2 linked regions of the Lepisosteus oculatus genome follow. The protein of the gene in region 1 purifies or fractionates together with the protein of each later gene. This does not show direct contact. Links are inferred from orthologs where the notes say so. Each region holds a gene or a part of one and is shown in the gene's direction. Other genes may lie near its edges.

Evidence for each region.
Region 2: the proteins of smad1 (region 1) and skia purify together in Homo sapiens (affinity purification with western blotting, with the first as the bait; 3 studies listed by BioGRID). This does not show direct contact. The link is inferred for Lepisosteus oculatus from reciprocal best matches to the Homo sapiens genes SMAD1 and SKI.

Annotation. Positions count from the first base shown.
Region 1 is NC_090696.1:27,164,294-27,175,359, reverse strand, and holds the start of smad1 (mothers against decapentaplegic homolog 1), read left to right. Parts: upstream 1-5,723; 5' UTR 5,724-5,972; intron 5,973-8,066; exon of another isoform or gene 8,067-8,103; intron 8,104-11,066. UniProt on the Homo sapiens protein: Transcriptional modulator that plays a role in various cellular processes, including embryonic development, cell differentiation, and tissue homeostasis.
Region 2 is NC_090720.1:4,149,131-4,159,846, forward strand, and holds the start of skia (v-ski avian sarcoma viral oncogene homolog a), read left to right. Parts: upstream 1-5,613; 5' UTR 5,614-6,161; coding exon 6,162-7,067; intron 7,068-10,716. UniProt on the Homo sapiens protein: May play a role in terminal differentiation of skeletal muscle cells but not in the determination of cells to the myogenic lineage. Functions as a repressor of TGF-beta signaling.

The DNA of each region.
Region 1 (11,066 bases):
CCTGGGATCAGCGGGGTCCGGTGTGGTAGTGAAGCTGGAGGCTTCATTGGGCACATTGACCTTACTGGTACAATGAACAAAGCTCTCACTCACTTTCGTTGTGAACAACATGAAGTATACACCTTTTGAAGGAGAACAAAGACAGAGTCACACAAAAAGTATATTATCATCTTTATTCAGATTTTGTGTTATCTAGGGCAGGGTATGGTCGAGTTCCACCGAGACAAAAAACAACCACCTCAAGGAATTTAATTCAAACGTTTGATTCCTTAAATTTTAAAGTTAAGTTTGTTCACTGTTTAGAACAAGATACCATTAGAAATGCCGTATGAATTTAGTATGCTGGAGAACAGTAACATTTTGCAGCTCGTTTATTTAAACACAGGGAGCTCGTCCAATAAAAAATTGGAATTAAAATCAGACAGCGGCTAATGTTTTGCGAACTGCCAATACCCGGTGTCTGAGAAGGGGTTTGTGATACTAGACACGTTCCCATTGCAGACTGAATGAAGTACTGTTTAAAAATACAGCCACAACAGAAAAGTTAACACAGCCACACATCAACACACGCAGAAAGCCCTCAGTCCCAGGGCCATTCAACGTCTAAATTAAGCTGCGGCGGCCGCTGCCTCTCCGCCTCCTCCCTCTCCGCACGCTCCCGACTCGCACTGTTTTCCCAGATTTCACATTCACGTGCAGCCTGCTCGCGCCTCACTCAGACATTCTGTCGCCAGCCGCGTGACGTCACCCGCGCTACAGCGCACACGCTGGATTGTTTTCCTCCGCCGGCGCAACAGGGTCGTGGATAAACTAGTCCCAGAGGCAGCGAGACAGCTCGACGTTCAAGTCCATGTTGCGGGCAAGATAGGAGAGAAAGAATGCTTGAACACGCCGGGGTTTCAACAACGGCCAATGACAGGGTCTGAAATGTAACAATAGCTACGGAGATTTTCATAGCGCTGTTATCATTGTGAGTGGAGAGAGTAATTTCTAACAAAATAAAAAATGAAAGTCAGGGAGGTTTGGAGAATAAACACTTAAACGTTGGGGGTTTGTTTAATGTTTGTTTCCAAGCTCCTTAAGAGTAACGTAATGAACATAGCACGGAAAGCTGCGAACATAAAAAAACCCAAAATAATAAAGGTTTTCTTCGATGTGTAAAAAAATTACGCTTCCTTCAGTCCGAGGATCCAGCTACGTCCCTCTGAGTGCGAAGAGAAGATTGGAAATGAGTGGACCAGCCTGTCATTAAACTACAGCTCTAGGATTGGGTTATACCGTGTAACTTCGTGTGTAAAAAACTGTCCGAAACAGAAGCGTGATCATGGTCAGTCTTGAATAAGGACAATAATGACAGGCTACACGCCCCCTTACACGTGCTGCCTGGAAGTTCGAGATCGGTTCTACAGCGCGTGTTTAAAGGTTCTGGAGGATGTGGGATTTGAAGGGCTTTATTGCACATCGGAAACATTCTCTAAATTCCTCTTGTTCTAACGGTGCTCCCGAGCACAGTGTTGTAACGCACTGGGATGCAATATGAATGAGTTAGCTTATACTGTAACGTAGCTCTTCTTTCGAGTATTCGGACATAGCGAGACGTCTTCGGGCATCACGACAGCCCGATAGTGCATAATACTATACGTCGAACATCGGTCTCTTAAGCGAAGTAGACCTGCACGTTTCTTTTATTCCTTAATGACAACAATACCGTTTTCATTTGTAATGTTGTGAAATGGTTTTGTTTTCACTGCCCCTTTGGATTTGAATACAACTGTAATTCTGCGGAACACAGCTAAAACGGTTTTTAATATCCAACATTTCCAGAAGGGAAAGTTGTGTCTAATTTGCTTTGTAAAAAACGTTTTCAATTTCCATCTCAAAACCCTTTGGATTTAAGGACGCTCAATGCTCTTGTTTTTTCAGACATTAGATGAGGTTTTCTTCTCTAGCCAGCACACCTGGTAGCCAAACGTTTGCAGCTGTACTGTACGTACAACACATATACTGTACACTGATAACAGAGACAGCAGCACCTCCAAACTAATGCAACAGAAGTTTTAATGCCGAGTTAAAAATGAGACTAATCTTTACATCACATTTCGGTGTCTTAGGGAGATCAAATAATGAGTAGAACAAGATATTTCAAATGGTACTGACCACACAGAGTCTACATCACCTTTTAAATAAAGCTACATGTGACTTCAGTCCACTTCTCCTTCAAACGAGCGCTCTGCTAGCAAAGCAGCTCTCTTCAGGATCCCCCCTCAAGCAGACCACAGTGGGCACCACTCATCCTCTGCAGACCACACAGCAGACGTCGAGTCTTCAGATGACGAAAAAGCTAGCGTTCACGGCTGGGTCCGGCTGGTGGAAGGGGGATTCAGCTTTTAGCTTGATGAATGGAGGCTTGGCTGAGGCAGGACTGGTGCACAGCTGTGTGGTTGGGAAGAAGAAACCAACCTTTGGGGCTATTCCTCTCTTCTTAAAATTGACATGGTTTTCCCCTGTCATACTTATATTGTACTACATTCCAATCTGCTCCCCAAACCTCTGGAATTCTATCCCCAAGGATATCAGAGTCACCTGCCCTGAGTGCGTCTCAGTCCAGACTCCAAACGTTTCTTTTCAGAAAGACTTTAACTTAATTAGTGTCTGTGTCTTCTCCATTTTCTAACTTCTGATGCACTTCTAAACTTTTTCTTTTACGTACTTATTTTGTGATTTGCTATCCTTAAAACGTTTTTTGCACCTACTGCGAAGGCGCTATATAAAGTTAAATTTTATTATTACTTGAAATACCACGGTACAATACTCAGGCTAAACAGACTGCTTGTTACAAGCGTCGTGGTTGTGCTAGTGGCTGAGCAGGGAACTTAATTTGCAGAGAGGAACTCGGATACCTATACTGTCCTGCTTGATCTCATGGTCAAAGTGGTCAAAGTTCACGTTCTGTCAGCTTTAAACATGTGGGTGTGAAAGCCTGCAGAAGATTTCGGTGAGCTGACAGCTTCATTAATTTCTTTAGTGGGCATTGAGAGTTCTGGGTTTTCACCTTGCTGTGGTGTCAGAAATTAACACTCATGAGTGCACTCAAACCTTTGCCATCTGCCATTATGGCATCTCTGCTTTCTTGGATGGCCTGCATCACAACATTAAAATCCCTCCATTTTACAGCGACACTATGCAGGTCATGTATGAGCTCGGGCCCTTCTGACACACAAACACTGGGCAAGATGTTGTGGAAAACCAAGACAGCAGCCCAGGGATGATGCTGCACAGCCTTTGGCTGTCTTGCTAACTGTTCTCTGTGGTTGTAGCTGCTTCTTGTCCCACTCGGCTTTAAAGAAGCTTATAGAGTATCTTACTAAAGAAAGCTACAGCCATAACAATCCCTACCACCGAGGCATTGAAAGAGTGCTTCAGATAGGGAATCAGATGGTGTTCTCAAGAGGTTCTCCTTCAGTACCAGCAGTATTAAACCCTTTATCAACCGAAGATTGAGTCTGGTGTCACTGTTGAACTGTGGGTAGGCTGTCTGAGGTCCACTACAAATCCCTGTGAGGCTACTGTTGCCTTTCTCCTCTTGCCTGGGAAACTTTCTGCTGCAGCTTTTCTCCCCCTCTGTCTGCTCTCGTTTCCTTACCACAGCTCCTATTCTTGCCTTATCATAGCAGTCAGAGACCTCCCTGACCCCAGCCTACGATCTGCAGCTTCTGGGAATGCCACATGGCATTGGCCCAGCATTGGAAATGACATTGCTTTTCCGAAATGTCTCAAAATATCTTCTAGTAATGCAACACTTCAGCGAGCAATACACACCTCGGAGCACAGAAAACTCTGGAAGTGCCAGTCATTCCCACAGCAGTCTCAATTACACAGAACATGATCTGCCCGTGGGCGGCATGGTGGAGCAGTGGCTAGTGCTGCTGCCTCACAGTGCCTCACAGTGCCTCACAGTGCCGGGGCCCAGGGATCAATTCTCAGCCTGGGGTGCTGTCTATGTGGAGTTTGTACGTTACTTATCTATAATAACTACTTAACATCGTTATCTGATAATATACTGTGTTCATGAAGCAAAATACGATCAAAAGTTTAATTGCAATGGGTCATTAGTGTTCTGTCTCCACAAAAGTTACAGTGAGAGAGCTATCAGTAACTGCATCATTGAGCAGTGCTTCGATTTGATGTCATTGATATCATTAATAGTAGACGTGATTGTAGCAGTCATTGTATCAAATATTAAAAGTACATTTTATTTTACATGTAAATGCCTAAAGGGCAGAGATAGGTTAAACTCAGGGGGCTACTTTTACTTAGTTCAGTTGTGAAACAAGGACATGGATACAAAATCAGAGGCTAAAAGGCTAAATTCATTTAGGGTGGACTGAGAAACAGTAAACACTTCCTTACACAAAGAGTTGTTAAAAGGTGGAAGAGGAATCCTAGACAGGGGCTGAGACACAAACTCAAGAAACAGCAGGATGAGATAACTGGATCAACTAGCTACCAACTACTAAATGGCCTGGATGACCTCTCTTGTTTGCAGATGTCCTAATGCTCCTAACGCTGCAGGCGTGAAGAACACAATTTGTTTTTAATTCAATGTTCTGTGCAATATTACCCATGTAATACAGAGATCAGAGGTAAAATGAAAGAATGGAGAAACGAGCACAGATTGATTTGGAACATGTTCCTCTTCAACAATTAAGTAAAATCTCAGATTAAGATTTCAGATTACGCTCAATTGAAACACGCAGGGCTTCACGTGTGAGCAGGAGAGCCTTTAAAATCCAGTCATTTCCGTGCGAGCCAGTTCTCTTCACAGAGGGCAGGAGCTACACTATGATCCGGAGTATCTTCAATTAGCACACACAAAATTCCCGATGCATTCAAACAGCTCTTTAATAGTTAGCCCAGGTTGGCAGGTCAGTGGTTTTATCTGACTGATTTTAACCAGTTTTAAAGAGAGCTATTCCTAAAACATTTCTAAGAGGTGCTTCAAATGCAAATGGTTGAACTGTCATTCCCACTTAAAACTTCCTTTGATTTTGGGGCTGACAGGCTGTGGCTGGAGACGTTCACCTTGGCACTATAGTAGGCCTCTGCTGTGTCTTCTGCCTCTTGAGAGATGTACTGTACATCTTGCTCAAATAACACACCAGTCAGCACTACCGACTTTTTCTTCCCCAAGACCAGACCAGATGTGTTTCACGCTGAAAGGAACATTGGTATTGAAGCCCGAATGTTGCGCCCTGTCCAACAATACATGCGTGACGGACAGAGTGTAAGATTATTTTTTTAAACGAATAATTCCAGGATGAATTAAGACGTGTCTGTCGGCGATTCTGCTTGTATTACATGCATAAAGTAGCTTCTAACCAGGCAAAAGTGTTCTATGTAGCACTGTACGGTATAGGATACCAGTTCACAGTATAATGCTCTTGTGAAAATATGCACTAGTAGCTACAGGACGTTTTCTAACTTCTGTTGAAAAGGTCGGCGCAATCGGACATTTTTTAACTGGCAAGAGATTCTCACTTGACAGCCAAGCGTCCTCCTCAAATCACCAAATGTCAGGGCGGCGAGTACCCCGTCCAGTTAATAAAAAGCCAGCTGCGAAGCACAACCAACCGCGTCTCCCAGTATTGCACAGCAACCGAGATCCTCTTCTTATTTGACACACGGAAGGCACGGGGGGAGTAGAGAGGACTCAATTTTCCCCGGTGAGCGGGGCGGGTTATTTTGAGACGGCCCCTAGCCGCGCAGCCCCGCGGCATGATACAGAGCGCGGCGCGGAGGGTGCGGTGGTCCTCGACTCGCTGACGCCAGGGACGCGAGATCAATCCAGGCAGCGGTGCGCGCGAGCTGCGCGGCGGCAGAAGTTTCGCTCTTCCCAGTGTCGGAGCTGAAGAGCCGCGGACGGGCGGCCGGTGGAGACGCGGAAAACTTTTCTCTCTCTTTTTTTGTTTAACGTGAGTGGCTTTGTTTTTTTTTTGGTGGATTCTGCTTTTTAGTTGGCTTTTAGATTTAACCCCTGTTAATAAATGTGTGTTTTTCGCTTGTCTCTCTCTGAAACGAGAGCTCGTACCTTTATTCTCAGGTTTGCCAGTAACTGCGTTTTAAACCCGTGTCATCCGTTTGTTTTGAAGTGCCGTTCGCCAGCCGACATGCTGCTTTTAAAATTGGTGTATTGGTACAGGGGCAGCGGTCGTGTGTTATTATGTGAAGTTGTCAGATGTTGAAATGTGTTGCCGTTAAAGGTTTAGTTTGCTGTATTTAGCGTGCTGGGGTCTGTATTAGACGACAGCCCGAAACGTTGTCACCCCCTTTTTCCTCGTTTGAAAACTGGAATTGAGTCTTTGGGTGATGTTTTTTTCGGTAGTTCTGTGGTATTCAAATGTGTGATTAGCTAGATTTTGTTAGCCAAGCTGATGAAAAGTTCATTCTAACTGTAAAAGGGTTAAGGGTGATTCTTCATTTGGATTGACACACGAGTTTCTCGGCTCATTAAAATCTTTCAGAACATTTTCAAAAAGTGTGTGTGTGGGGTGGGGTGACAATGCAGACAAGCAAATGAAGACTCCTATGAATGCTCTGTAGATTTAGTTTAGTGTAGTATGGACCTGTCAGAAGCGATGTCTGAACGTTTCCATTGTCGTCTTGGTGCCTTGACGTCATTACCCGGTCGGGATCCGGGCGAACTCGCCCTGTTTCCCGGAGCTCGAGTGGGCTCGGACGCGCTTCCAAGCGCTCGTGGACTTCGCGTGAAAGGGACACGGAGCCGCCGTCCGTGCAATTCGATGCCGTTTAAGATCGTTAAAAAACAAAACAAAACCCGGGCACTTGGAATTGGGGAAAAAAAAAAAGAAATCGCGAAGAGGAAAGGGCTTTGATCATCTCGCCCAGCCTGGGTGTGAGCGCAGGGGTCCCCGCTCCGGCACGAGACGCTTCGGGGATGCTCTTGGACGCACAAAGACCCGGGAACACATCTCGCTGTCTTCGGGGAGAGATCGGATGACCCAGAGGGCAGGCATTCGTCCTTGCGTTTGATTTGATTCTTTGCTGTACATCTTTGACGTCTGGGAGCGCTTTTTTTTTTTAGCGGCAGCTCTCTCTCTGTCGAGGAGTAAAAGCAAATCTGCAGGTACACTGTGGGGGGAAAAAGACTTGCAGACCCTTTTTATGTTTTCCAATAGTTCAGATACGTTCGCTGCATCATTTTAGCACCCCTTGAAGGATTAAATAACCATTGATTTTACGTTTTTCTGACTTCCCTTAAGTTTTTGTTTACCTGCGCGCTTTGCTGTATTCGCCCCTTTTCTATTAGGGTGATCTCTCTGGGTTGATGATGGTGATCAGTTGGAGTGATTTTCCAGATTGTTCCGGTTGAGTTTCTGGGGAGTGTGTGGGAAAGGCGGCCTGCAGGTGGTTTTGTGCCCAGATTGCGGAGTTCACGGCGGTGCTGTGGATTCTGAATGTCAACTCCGAAACCAGAGTGCAGAACCTTCCTACATACTGCGAACGTTTCTGCGTGCTCAAAAATGTTTCTCTTCAATTAAACTTTGTCATTAAACTTACACAGGTGCATAGTATAATGAAAAGTGTTTCTCATTAGTCACTCAGGTGCAGTATATAAATAGGACAGAAGATAAGACAATAGACAGTTACACAATAGCAATAACAGTAACATGTAATAACATAACATAAATAACATGTAATCAAAACTGTGCAAAATTCCGCAAACATAAAATCTAACAGGACAAAAACAGTGCAAGGTAATTTTTGGAACAGTGCAAAAATAGTATGGTTAATAATAGTATGGTTAATTAATAAATATTAAATATTATTATGACCGGTACAGTTTTACTGGGCTATCGAGGGGACAGTACAATTTCGGCTTACATGTGTGTGTAGTGGTGTAGGAGTACAGTGGTTGTGGGTACAGGAAGATGTTAGGAGAGATCATAATATGGTGGGAGGGAGTGGGGGCGTCACCAACTTGACAGCTCTGGGGAAGAAGCTATTTTGGAGTCTAGTTGTGTGCGACTGGATTGACCGGAACCTCCTGCCAGATGGTAGGGGAACAAACAAGTTATGACTGGGGTGAGTGGGGTCAGGCATAATTTTGGTGGCTTTTTACAGACTCCTGGTGTTGTAGATTTCCTGGATGAATGGTAAGACACTGCTGATGATGTGTTGGGCAGTTTTGACCACTCGCTGTAGTGCCTTACGGTCGGATGCGGTGCAGTTGCCGTACCAGACTGTGATGCAGCTGGTCAGTATGCTCTCCACCGTACATCTGTAGAAGTTGGTGAGGATCTGTGGATGTACAGCCGCTGTTGTGCCTTCTTGATGAGACTGGAGGTGTTCAGTGTCCATGTAAGGTCCTTAGAGATGTGAACACCTCTCTTTGATGTATGTGAAAAGGATTTCAGCCCTCATTCAGGAAGGTGTTAACCTTTAAGGTTTCACGTGCTCTGCCCCCTTTTTCGTTCACAGTCGACTCCTTTTTTCTGTGATTTTCGCAAAACTATACAACAATGCATCCATTACGATCTTGTGTATGTAGAATACTTTAAATAGCGTTTCATAAAGTTCCGTTTTTCTCTTGGCGTGCTGTAAAGGCAGTATCGCAATTGCTTACTTGTAAAAATAGGAATTTGTCGAAATTATCCGATACAGTCTTAACACCTCTCGAGGATAACCTCATTTTTTTTTCCTTTGGAAGAGATACTTCAAGATTTATTGCTGGTCTAAGACCAGATTCAGTCGGAAGAGGTTTAATGCGAAATTTTATCCGTATACTTAAGTGCCCATGAAATGAAGTCAGTTCTGCATTTGTTTTATAGTGCTGAGAGTGCATGATGTGCTAGTGTACTGTAGTATTATGTAAAGCGTCATGGATGGCAAACCTGGCTTTCCTCAGTATCGGGATACTCATTACAGCTCAGTTGTAAAAGGTCTCGGAAGAAGGTGCTTTTTGAGGGTAACACACTAACCTAACTAACCTCAGTACCTTATGAGCTCAGACAGCAGGAAGAGCCATTTGGCTGAATGAATGACGGTTCCACTATTCCCCTCCTCCTTGCTTCAGTGCTACAGTCCACATCTAGGAGTACAGACTCGCTCCAGCCATCCCATTGCTAGTGGAACAGTGCTAATAATAATTCCTTACACTTATATACTGCGCTTTTCTGGACACTTTACATGGGTCATGGGGACTCCCCTCAGTGCTGAGGCAAATGTCAGGTTTCAGTCGCCAGCCTGTTCTTGGGGGTTGATGTGTTATTTTTCCCACAGTGCAGAGAAGATTTGGAAAGGATCGGCCGATGTTCTTGTTGTGGGTTGCAGGGTCGTATAATGATGTGCTTACAGTTTTAGCTCTTGTTATTGGTGCTTGCTTAGCTAGGCTCCATGTAAACACTTTCATAGCAGTGAGACAAATGGCGGAGAGGCAGCGTAACGCAAATCAGTTCTGTGGCTTAAACATGCTTCTAACATCTGCGCTTCTGCCTGATGGCAGAGAGAAGCTCATTTGTGCTGAGACTAATGGAGACACCATCAAGCCTTTATAAATATTGTAAGTTCTGTGTAATGCACGGTCCCCAGAGACACGCGAGAGAGCATCATTACTGCCTCCTCAACCTGCAGGAGATCCTAAATTGATTTACAGCTCAGAACTTGTGCAAAATGATACATGGGGATGGCATGGGGGTCAGCTTGTCAGAGTCGTATGATCTGAGCCCATTAGCTTAAGCTTTGGTCATTGGAGCACATGAACAGGCCAGGAAGTCACAAGCCTCTGGCAGGAGACTGTTTTTTTTTCCCTTGAAAAAGGAAGTAAGTCTTTGTGTAAATACAGAAAATATTTTTCTAAATATTTCGGTAAACTCGTTCTTCGTCACTGATGTCTGGGGTGTTGAACTGTGGTACTGCAGGGAATGTGTACACTGTTGTGTGAGAGGGGGAGTATCATTGTTGCTGATAACATAAATTAAATTTGCAGCCAAGTGTTTAATGACTTCCACAGAACAGTCATTACTGTGTAAGTACACTCGTCTTATTGTAAAGGGCCTGGAGTGGTATCTGGGGGGAGGAGGGAGGTTGTGCCCTATAATGGAATGATTTCCGTATCTGAAAGTTCAGAAGAGTTGTGGGTCTTGAATCTGTGGAGTGCTGCCTGTCCATGTCCACTGACGTGACAATGATGGAGATCGCGTTGCTGTTTTGAGGAAATCCTGATGAGTATGCTGGCTGGATGTCATGGAAGAATGTGGCAAAAACATAGACTCTCTTTGCCAGGTGAATTCAAATAGGTGCTTTTGTAAGGTAATTGTTTAGATGTGCATCTTGTATTTTTTTGTGGCTGGAGGATTGTACTTTTAAATATTCATTTGCACAGGGTAGCACGACAGTGCAGTTGTTAGCAGTGCTGCGACCCTGGGTTCAATTCCAAACCCGGGGTGCTGTCTGTGTGGAGTTTCATGTTCTTCCATGTCATTTCCTCCCGTAGTCCACAGACATACTTAAAGGTTAATTGGCTTCTGTGAAATTGGCCCTGGTGTGTGTGTGTGTGTTTGTGTCTGTGTGTGGCCTGTGATGGACAGGCATTCTAACGCGCCCAGCGCTTCTTGGGATAGACTAGGTCACCATGACCCTGAATTGGATGAGCAGGTATTGAAAGTGATGTGATTCATTGCAAGCAGTTTGAGAGAATCCCCCTGAGCTATGTCCCATTGTTTCGCAGACCTCAGTTAGTCACTGACTGGTATTTCAGGTCAACAGTTGTAGGAGACCTGTCAGCCCTTTAAGGTCCACCTGCACATCTGTTGGTGTATATCATGTGAGGGAAACCCAGGAAGCTCCTGCCGCTGTAGGGGTCCTCTTCGTTTACCTTTGTTAAGGTTAACCATAACGGATGCAGACAAAAATAAAAATTGACTCATTCATAGCTGAAAGCATTAAAAAATATACAGCTAGACATTCTAGGACAGGGAGTGGCAGATCTTGCACATTTTTTCAGCATCGATCTGTGAAACAGCTGATATCACTTATTGTTCAAATAA
Region 2 (10,716 bases), on another chromosome or scaffold:
AAACACACAGATTTAGAAAAGCCTATTGTTTAGCAGCATTCAGATACCAGAATCAGCATTCACTTAACGCCTACTGGTGAGCAATGAAATCCCATTTAAAATGCATTACTACCTGCTCCAGTGGGGAAACATTAAACAACATATGATATGTCTTACCTCAAGCGCCTGGGGATTCACATAAAATTCTGTTCTTTATTTTCAAAGGGAAAAAGTTAGTAGAACACTAGATTCAAATATCAATTATAATACTGTCTTATATAATTAATATAGTAGAATATATGAACAGGAGATGTGGTGATCTTGGAAGATTGTTATTGTCTTCATGTAAATTGGGAATGCCCATTACGGATGACAACAGCAGAAAATGGGATGATAGACATGGCTAAAGACAGCTTTTATAACACAATTGGCCAGAGACCCTGCTCGACGACGTTGCCTGAGTTGATCTCATCTTTTCAAACATTCAAGATAAAATAAAGAGAATAGAGATGAAAGAACCATTTGGCAATTAACCATAATATTGTTTGCTCTGATATATGTTTTGAAACTGTAGAGGTGAAGTCTAAAATAAGGTTTACAATTTCAGGTAAGCAGACTATGAAGTAATGAGACAGAGCTTTTAGAGAAGTAGATGGGATTAGGGAAGGAATCAGTAGATAATGGATGGCAACATTAGGATTTCTGCTTGAAGCACATAACACGTCTCATTAGTATGTAAATCAAAGTCTTGTAAGCAGTGACCCAAATGGATTACGAAATCAGTTAAGAAAAATATAAGGGGAAAGAAAGATCTGTATAAAGTAATTAAAAATCGCAGTATCTGGTTAAAGAAAAGTAATGTAATGAACTCCAAACAGCTTTAAAATGGTAGAAAGGTCAAGAGACTGATAGAAAAGAATATTGCAGCGGAGAGTTTTCAGTACAATTGCAGCAAACAACGTTAGACAATGCCAGGGAAATAAACTATGTATAAAATGAGAACTTCACTCATTTAATATTTCTCTAGAAATTAATGGTATTCCCCAATTTGTACTTCTGAACAAAGATGTTGCTGTTAAAAAAACACCAACAGTCACTCGAGACAGACATAGTATAATATTCATTAACTGGAAAATTGCTAATACAGCATCCATGCATAAAAAGAGTAATAAAAATTGAATCAAGTAATTATAGACCAATAAGCCTTAACTTCTATTAGATGTAAGGTTACAGAAACTATTAGATCAAACGTCTTCATTGCAATAGAATTTTAGATAGGAAACAGGATTTTTTAAAGAAAGATCTTGCTTAACAAGATCCTGTTAAGAGTTTTCACAACAGACAACAGCTTTAATGGATACAAACAACAATGTGGTGTATTTAGACATTTGTGGTGTATTTGGTGAAGTTTCGCCATGATTAATTAAATGAAGAAGAATTAATTGGAAGAGCTGGGATATTTCTGCTTGGGAATCAGTCCAGAGATGTGCAACCAAATACATTCCCATGTATTCTAGTGTGGATTGTTCTATACTGACAGGGTAAGAGAAGTTCATCATTTTAGTGGTGAGCAGAGTGGACTATGGGAGAACCCTATTTTTATTCTCAAAAACATTGATAAAGTAAACTGAATGGACTTCTTCAGAATCAACAGTGGAACATTTGGAACACACAGGGAATGTGTGTTTAAAACTGAGAATAGAGGACATGTTTTGTATATGGACATTTGGAAAAAGCAACCCAGAAGGGCTGACAAAGCTGATAACGTGGCTTCATCAAAGAAAAGCCCAAAAGTGATCCTTGGGTCAATTAACTGATATCAACCAAATGAAACGAAGTGCTAAATGGCCTCCTCTCATTTATAACCTTACTAATAAACTTATGTTCTTTGATATTTCAATGCCTAGAGCTGGTGCTTTTGATATCCGTATACTAGTATCTTTGTATTCCCGACCCCTTAAATTTCCACATGTGATTTAATTGGCTAATAAATTTGTTGGAACTCTGTCAATTGGCTGCCATTTAACAGGGGATAGCTACACTTCTGTGGTGGATACAGTCCTCTTCTGCCTGTAAAGACCCATTAGATCCTTGGGAAACATACAATATTATCACCATTATCATCAGGAAAATTATTCCTTTGCTCCAATTCAAGAAACTATCCTCTATTAAGTAATTGGGAGCACTTCTGCATCGGTTTTACACAATGCTTGGAGGCCATTTGATGTTTTCAATAAAATATCGGATAAAAGAACAAAGGAAGAAAATATGATAGTTCCTTTGACCAGGATTTATTTTCTCTTTAATAAAATCCATTCAGCAGGGACCTACTATATATATACCGCTGTGAAGAAACCCACTCCTTTAATAATAATTGCTGACGGGTATTATTCGCGGGTGATGAGTTCATGTGAATCAAGCAATACATCCGAGATTTTAGATGTGAAGTCTCCACAGATATCAGCTTGGATTTTCCCCCCAGTTGGTTTGAAGTTGTGGTCCCAAGCAACAGAGGTTTTTCTGATTCTAACTCTTCTTATCCATTAGGGGTTTATCTTTTCGTGAAAGGATATGTGAGAATTGTGAATCCCAGTGTTCTGCTGGGTATGTCTCTCTTAGTATTTTCATAATAATGTACACTTTATGAAATGAAAAATTCCACGAGGTTGCAAAGCTTGTTTTTATTGCTGTTGCCTTCCATGTGCAATGTTAATAAAAATACCATTTTCAAGCACATTGTAATCACTAAATGAAGGAACAAATTAACATGTGGTGACTTACATCTTGTTATGAGAAACAATGTCATGAGAATCTTTAGCTGAAATATGTACTATTTCGCCCAATAAAATGTGCTATCTCAATCATTTATATATGGATGTGTGAAAACAGTACAATCGTAACAAAAATCAATAATACTAATATTCATTTTGGGGCAGCATGATGGCGCAGTGCTTAGCAGTGTCACCTGAAATATCCGAAAAAGACAAATCTGGCAAAACATGACTTGAATTTATACAGGCGCATTTTCATTTGAAGCTCAACAAAATGTTCCTGATAAAAAATAAATGTACCTTATCAACCTACTGTGCTACTACAATATGGATCTGTCTCCATATACTCCTCCCACTCTGTATTTCCTGACTAGACATGGTGACCCCATTTCCTCATAATGACTGTCCCAGTGCCACAGACAGTGCAATTACATCACTGTCCTGCTAGAGGGAGCTAATGATACAGAATAATCAGTTTAGCTTCTCAATCCCACTTATTGTCTCTGACAATTGGACATATTTCCAGTGTAACTGGCTGAAAGGAATGATTTCACTGCATAGAGGAAATTGGAATGCATTTTTTCTCAGACATTTTTATGGTTTTGTTGTTGTGAAGCTTTAAAATCTAATTAAAAGGTAATACTTTTCTTACAAACTCTTTAACACTTTTATTTCATTAAAAATATTAATTGAAAGAAATGTTCTACATGTTTTTTTTGGTAACACATGCACAAAATAGGCTATAAGTGTGAATGTGTTCAGTATTAATTATTTCCCTTAATTGTACATTGTAGATTTAATAAAGCTCAGAACATGTACTCTAATGTATTACTATCACATAAAGTTTTGAAATTGATTACATTCATCTGAGAAATAGCAGCACTTGTTAATTGCATAAAAATCTTTTCAAGTGATAAAGGTATACCTAAAAACCAAGAAAAAATCCTGAGATGACACGGTTTTGTATTTTTGTGTAATCATATCCTTTAAATGAAACAGCACTAGAAATGCTATTTAATTATAAGATTAGCCCCCCACTGCAATAATCAGCACATCAGGAAGGGCAACTCCTGAATCAAGTTGTTCTGGGGCAGTTCATGAACACGATCCATCACCCAGTCCACCCAGGTAGTCGAGTGTGTCTTTGACAAAATCCAGGTTTTAAAACCTTTCAGCTCTAAGGCTTTATTTGACCATGCTTGCTGTGACCCCCTTTTTGTGTAACTCGTAAAACTGGACGGGTAAGAAAAGGCGACACATATCAATGTACATTGTGACTGCCTTAGCTATGGTGTTCATAACTCTACTTGGGGAGGGCCATGAGACACAATAAAAGAAGCAAGAACAATAACAGAGAACTCAATTTAAAAAAAAAAAAGAACGAGGAGCATGATAACAATAACACCAGGCCCTTTCCAAAATAAAGAATTCTTTAAGGAACTGTACCAAACTTTAAGCCATTAAAGGACTTAGGAGGTATTTAGTCAAACAAATTCTTCTTGGTTTCAGATGAATAGGAATGTGTGGGTGGATTGGTCTTATAAAAGTGCAAACACCCACCATTTTCATTCTCTGGTTCAGAAGTTTAGAGTCCATGTGTGTTCCTAAGCTGGCCTTGAAGATACATGTGTATGTGTGTGTGTGCTGTGGTAGGTGGGGGGACTTATGTTTTAAGTTACATTCTTCACTCTGATTTGAAGAAAGGCAGGCATCCTTTCTCCTTTTCGGAATGGTCAACAGCTGTTGATATCAGGGAATCATTTCCATGCCCCCCCGTGATGATCAGAAGTCATCAGGAATGGTTAGTCCAGGGCAGTTGAAGTCAAAGGTGTGCCACCTCAAAAAAGTTCTGTTCCCTGCAACCACATATAGGAGCTCTGGGGCAAGACAGGGTTTTCTGTGAACTCCGGCTCTATTTGTGGCTTTTTGCAGGAGCATTTTGGAAGAATCTCTGGAGCAAAGGAGAATCTCCGCAAGGAAAGTATTGTTAGACATGCCTTGAGTGCAAATGCATTTGCAGTTTACAGTCCGATAGGGCAAGTGCATGCTGAGACTGCAGTACACACTAAGCACAGACATCCAGAAATAAAATCTCTGTTTTCCTTGAATGTAAAAACGCTGATACGCCTTGTGTTTTGCTGCACTGTCTGGTCTGTGTTCAGATTCGAGGGGTCTGAAAAAAGCCAGGGGTTCATGAAGCCCTGAAGATCAAAATGAGCCCCCGTAGTTTACCATGATCATCATGAAGGGACTTTGCAACTAAATAAAATGGTTTGTTCAGAACTAGCAGACCTAGAAGATGTGGAAAATTGGTGGAGCAGCCTCGTGCAAAAAATATTAAACAAAAATCGGCCAAGATTCCCCCTCTGCGTTACACGCGTGTGTCCTTAATGTTTAAGAGCGCTTTGAACATAGAACCTACTGAGCACTGGAACTGATTAAACAAAACGAAAAAAAATATGTAAGCACGACTTTAAAAAAAATAAAATTCTTGTATGTGACAAACATCAGACTTTATTGCTTTACTTTCTGTCACTAAATGTTTGTAAAGGACTACTTTGGTCTATTTAAATAAAAATAAATAAACCGCAGTCACTCGTAGAATTTGCATTTCTCCTTAACGTCTAAATTAGACGTCTGTTGCAAACTCCACCCTTCCTCTCGGTTTAGCTGCAGACATTCTGAGCTGTGAACCAAGTGATTCACCATGCCCTGTGCTCAAGTCTCTTTTTTTTCCTTCCTTTTGCAGCAGCACGGGGCTGAGAAGAGAAGAGGGGGAGTGACGACATGTTCTTGGAAGAGCCAGCCTGGGGAGTCAGTCACATACTTGGCTGGGATTCAATGACTGAGCCAGACACACACAAACACTGAGAAAGGGGGGCTGCGAGGGAGAGGGAGAGAGAGAGAGAGTGAGCAAGCAAGCCTAGCTAGGTTGGCTGGCTGGCTGTAGTTGCACAGGCATATCATTACTGCAAGGGCAGACAGTGTGGATGTGAATTCTACCACTGCAAAACAGAAACGAAAAAGAGAGGCAAAGAGTGTACGGACTTTACAGTTTTGGGAAATTCTGAAAAACAAAGTTCAGAAGTATAGGTGGATACTTTTTGTGGAAGCGAGAGGCGCTTATTTTTTTCTTTATTGTGGATTGAGAAAGAAGCACTGGTGTGGATATGGACAGTAGGGAACCTACTACTGCAGGGGAAGACTCGCCGGTGTTACCGTACGCTTAGTCGGGGGATTGGACGCGCACTGTGTAGGACTTCTTTCTGGATGTTTGATGAAGCGCCTTTTCACCTCTGCTAACTCTGGGAGACCTTGGATTTACAAGGAACCGGGACCAGTGTGGGTTATCTATTGCTTTAGTTCTACCCCGGCAAAAGGAAGTTTCGCTTTTCAAGTAGTAAGTAAAACATGGAGACTGTAACCCGACCAAGCTTTCAACCTCATCCAGGACTGCAACAAACTCTGAAGCAGTTTCATCTGAGTTCTATGAGCTCTCTCGGCGGCCCGGCAGCCTTCTCAGCTAGATGGCAACAGGATATGCTGTACAAGAAAGATGGCAAGGACCCAGAGCCGGTCCTTCATCTCCCTATGCAGCCGCCCCCTGTGATGCCGGGTCCCCTCTTCATCCCGTCAGACCGCTCCACGGAAAGGTGCGAGACGGTCCTGGAGAGTGAGACTATCTCTTGTTTCGTAGTCGGCGGAGAGAAGCGGCTCTGTCTGCCCCAGATCCTCAACACCGTCCTGCGAGATTTCTCCCTTCAGCAGATCAACTCCGTGTGTGACGAGCTCCACATCTACTGCTCCAGGTGCACGGCGGACCAGCTGGAGATTCTTAAAGTCATGGGGATTTTGCCCTTCTCGGCACCTTCGTGCGGCCTCATCACCAAAACGGATGCGGAGCGCCTCTGTAATGCCCTGATTTACGGGGGTACCTTTCCACCGCACTGCAAAAAGGAGTTCTCCGGCTCCCTGGAGCTGGAGCTGACGGAGAAAAGCTTCAAGGTATACCACGAGTGCTTCGGGAAGTGCAGGGGACTTTTCGTGCCCGAGCTGTACACGAGCCCGAACGCAGCCTGTATACAGTGCATGGACTGTAGGCTCATGTACCCGACCCACAAGTTCGTGGTCCACAGTCACAAATCCTTGGAAAACAGGACATGCCACTGGGGTTTCGACTCCGCCAATTGGAGGGCATACATCCTCCTCAGCCAGGATTACACGGGCAAAGAGGAGAAGGCGCGCCTCGGGCAGCTTTTAGACGAAATTAAAGAGAAATTCGACTTCGCGAACAAATACAAGAGGAAAGCCTCAAGGGTAAGTTTCGGCGTGTTAAATGCTCGGACCTTTTGCACTGAAGGGCTGTGACAGGGAGCTGCGTGTTGGTGTGCATGGAGCCGTACGGGGTTTACGGGACAGCTTGGTCCGATTATACCGATCGAGTGCGCCGAAATGTTCACCTGAAGCTTAATTCACGAAATGTATGTGACTAATGCTTTTTTAGTCGTATCAAGAAATGTTCCTAACTAAATAACAATACTGCACCGCAGTGCAGAACTTCAGCTCTTCCTGCTAGACGGAATGTATTACTTTTTTTTTCTCGTCGGAGGCTTCCACGTTCCTCGCGTAGTGCATGGGTCCGATGTGCTGTGTTCGTCGCTTTAGCCGAGAAGAATCAAACCATGGGGGCTTAAATCATTTCTCGTCATTTGTGCAAAAAAGATATTTCGCCGTTGGCCACCGGGACGGGTGCGAGTCGGGATGTTGTTTTTGCGGGACACCGTAACACCTAGCGCGGTCACTTGACAACATTAAAAGTGTGTGCTGGCGCAAGCTGTGGTGAAGTTCATTATCAAATGTAACAAACAGTTGTCACTTTGAGTATTTTTGTTTTTTGTTAGGTACTGAAAATCCAAAACATTGAAAAACAAATGCGTACTATGTAACCATTCATGACGTTTCAATGGGAAACGGATGAAGCAGTAAGATTCGGGCGACAACTGAAATGACCTAATTTAAAGTTAACATATGGCTACTAATTAGCTACGAAGAATAACTAAACGCCTTTACGGTTATAAAGCCATTATTTGCTTGTGTAGTAGCCTGTCTTAGTAGGTGTGAAAGTCTTCTTATGCGCATTCGTATTCTTAGAGTGTTCAAATCCGCGGTAAACACAGACGCCTATCTGATATGAAGAAGTATGCATTAATGAATGTATTCTAATAGTAGCCTTTAATAATAATCAGAGTTTGATTCTTCTTGAAGCACAGTTTGTTTGGGTTTTCCATAGATTTCAAGAGATAAGAGGATTGACAGCTGGTTATGTTATATCAGGAACACCAACGGAGATTTTCATTGAAAACGCTTCGCATGGAAAAAATACCACTTTCACCCTCCCTCTGCAAGGTGCTACTGTTGCCCGCTTACTCCTCTCCCTCTTCTCCGAGTTCTGCATTGCCTTTCGCCCTTTTGCGATGTTTTGAAAATGTGAAAATGTTTAACATCGGAATCTCAGGTATTCGGAGGTGAATGTGTTTTTAATGACGGGCCCATCCCCGCTTAATGATGTGCTACTTAGCAAAGGTTGGATTCACGGAGGGTGGTCAACAGCGGTGCTTTTTGGTGGGAAAGATGCCAAATGTTGTGTCTGCCACGAGGGCTCGGTGAAAGTCCTGAACCTCGGTGTTAGTTTAACACAACGTGGTGAATAGATAGCTCACAGAGGTTATTTGCCCCACATAACCCTCTATTTGACTGTAGAATCCCAGAATCCCGTGATTTTCTCATTTTATTGTGTTCTCTCTATTGTCCGAGGGGAAAATAAAACGTCAATGTTTCAGCCACAAAAAATGTTTTAAAAACTTACAGAAGACATAAAACACCATTAATGTCCTTAAAAGTTTCTGTATGTGTAAGCTGATTTTTTTTTTAAATGCCAAAACAGTCCACTAAGGCGACGATAAAAGAACAACATATTTACTTTTTATTTCTTTTGCATACTTCACAGTATCTGACATATGTAAGCCAAACAAGATATGTGTCTGCATTTAATTAGCTACACATTTGAAAGAATCAAATATCACATTTAAGAGACAGAATGAAGAACTTTCTCAGAATGAGAAGCATATGCTTTTCAAAAGTTCAGGTTTTTTAGCTACCTGCAACACTAGGACCACTGTGTCTTATATTTTTAAGGATTACCATGTCTGTTTTGGAAGTCTACGATAAGAAAACATAACTGTTCTGGTTTTATTATTGTATTCTCTGAAGAGAAGGCCTGGGGGGTGGGAGTAGGGCCCCCTGATTATGTTCTGAGAAAGAGGTTTGTTTTTATTTTGCAAAGTGACCACTTTCAGGGCCAAGGAAATTGCGCTCTGAGTGTTTTCTGACTGTTTTGTACAGTTCACTTCAGCGGTTTCTATAGCAGCGACTGTGGTACAGATCAGCAGGCACATATACTCTCTGATAATCTAACTGCGCTTCAGAAAAAGTGTGAGTAATAACTTGTGGTCAGTTTCTGTCCAAGTGTGGCTAAAGATAAGTTTTTTCTTAAAGCAGAAGCAATACCTAGCATCTTTCTTGTGTTCAGTGTATTCACACAATCAACATTTTCTAGTTTGCAATGCTAATTTCTTTGAGAATGCTTTTGTTTCATTTGGAATGGGAGATACCCGGATAAACAGTGTCGTGTATGTTGGCCGTGGAATTCTTGGCTGTACTTCACATCCCAGCACACAACACAAACACATAGTATGGGACTTCTCCCTCACATCTTCACATCTATTTAGCTTCTAACTGCTTTGTTGCCCATGTAACCCTGACTTTTACATTGAGCTCTCTGCTACCAGCTTGAGGACAGAAGTCCAATTGTATCTGCAGGGTTAGAGGGGGATTAAGTCTGTGAACAGGGGTGGGTAGTGGGATCAGGGCAGAGTGCTTTTCCCTCCTCCCCAAAATAAAACCAATCAAATAAAGACCCCCCCCCCCTCCCCTTTCTAATGAAAGGCAAGCACATTCATTTGCATGAACTGTTACACTTGAATGGAGTTGATGAAGCAGGGATAGGAGTATTGTGGTCGAAACATAATATGCTCTAACAATGGTTCACATTCACTGACTCCCTCCCCCCCCCACAACACCCCCCCATCTCATCTCCCCTCTCCCCTCCTCTCCCCCTCACTACTTCTGCTTTTGGGAAATGAGTACTAGGGGGTGTGATGGTGGCAGAGCACTCGGTGGTCTGTCATACAAACAAAATGTAAATGTTTACAAACAGGAATTCCAAATTCCCACAGCAAGAGGAGTGGGGCTTCTGTTCTAGGCCAGAAGTCATTGGAGTTATTTTGTTACAGGGGTTAAGGAATCAGGTTAAGGGTCCTGTGGCACTGTGTTATATATCCTACATTCGAGTCTTAGTGCAGGGGCATAACTGGGGGAGTTAATGTCCCATCTGCATCTGTGAAATGACAAGTCTGTTTGTCCCAATTCAATTTTATTCCTAAAGTTTGTTTCTCCTTTAAAGCCACGGTTATCTGACGGGTTTACAGATTATTTTATTGGAATTTCTATTTTCATTGAGGAAAGGCCACTTTTTTTCAGCGTTGCCCACATTGAAGGGATACGTGAAAGTCTTGCTTATTCTCAAAGACCCTGCTGTGTGATAAAGAAAGTCAAATACACTTGATATTGGATCATCATTTGTTGCCTTTGTTTTTCTGTGTAGTTTTTTTTTTATTTGTGCGTGATCTTAGGAACAGCATTCACAGCTCCTCTAAAGGTGTGATGCCTTTTAATATTTTTTGTTGGAGAACACTGCAGACTAATTAGATGGACTATTGTGCTGTTTAGAAGCAGCTGTGGTTAAATATTTAACATACGAACTGACACAGCTCAGCTCACCAGACTAAAACAAAACAAACAGAAAAAACCCTATTTGGATGTTGAGTGTCTGCGGTGTACCTAAATT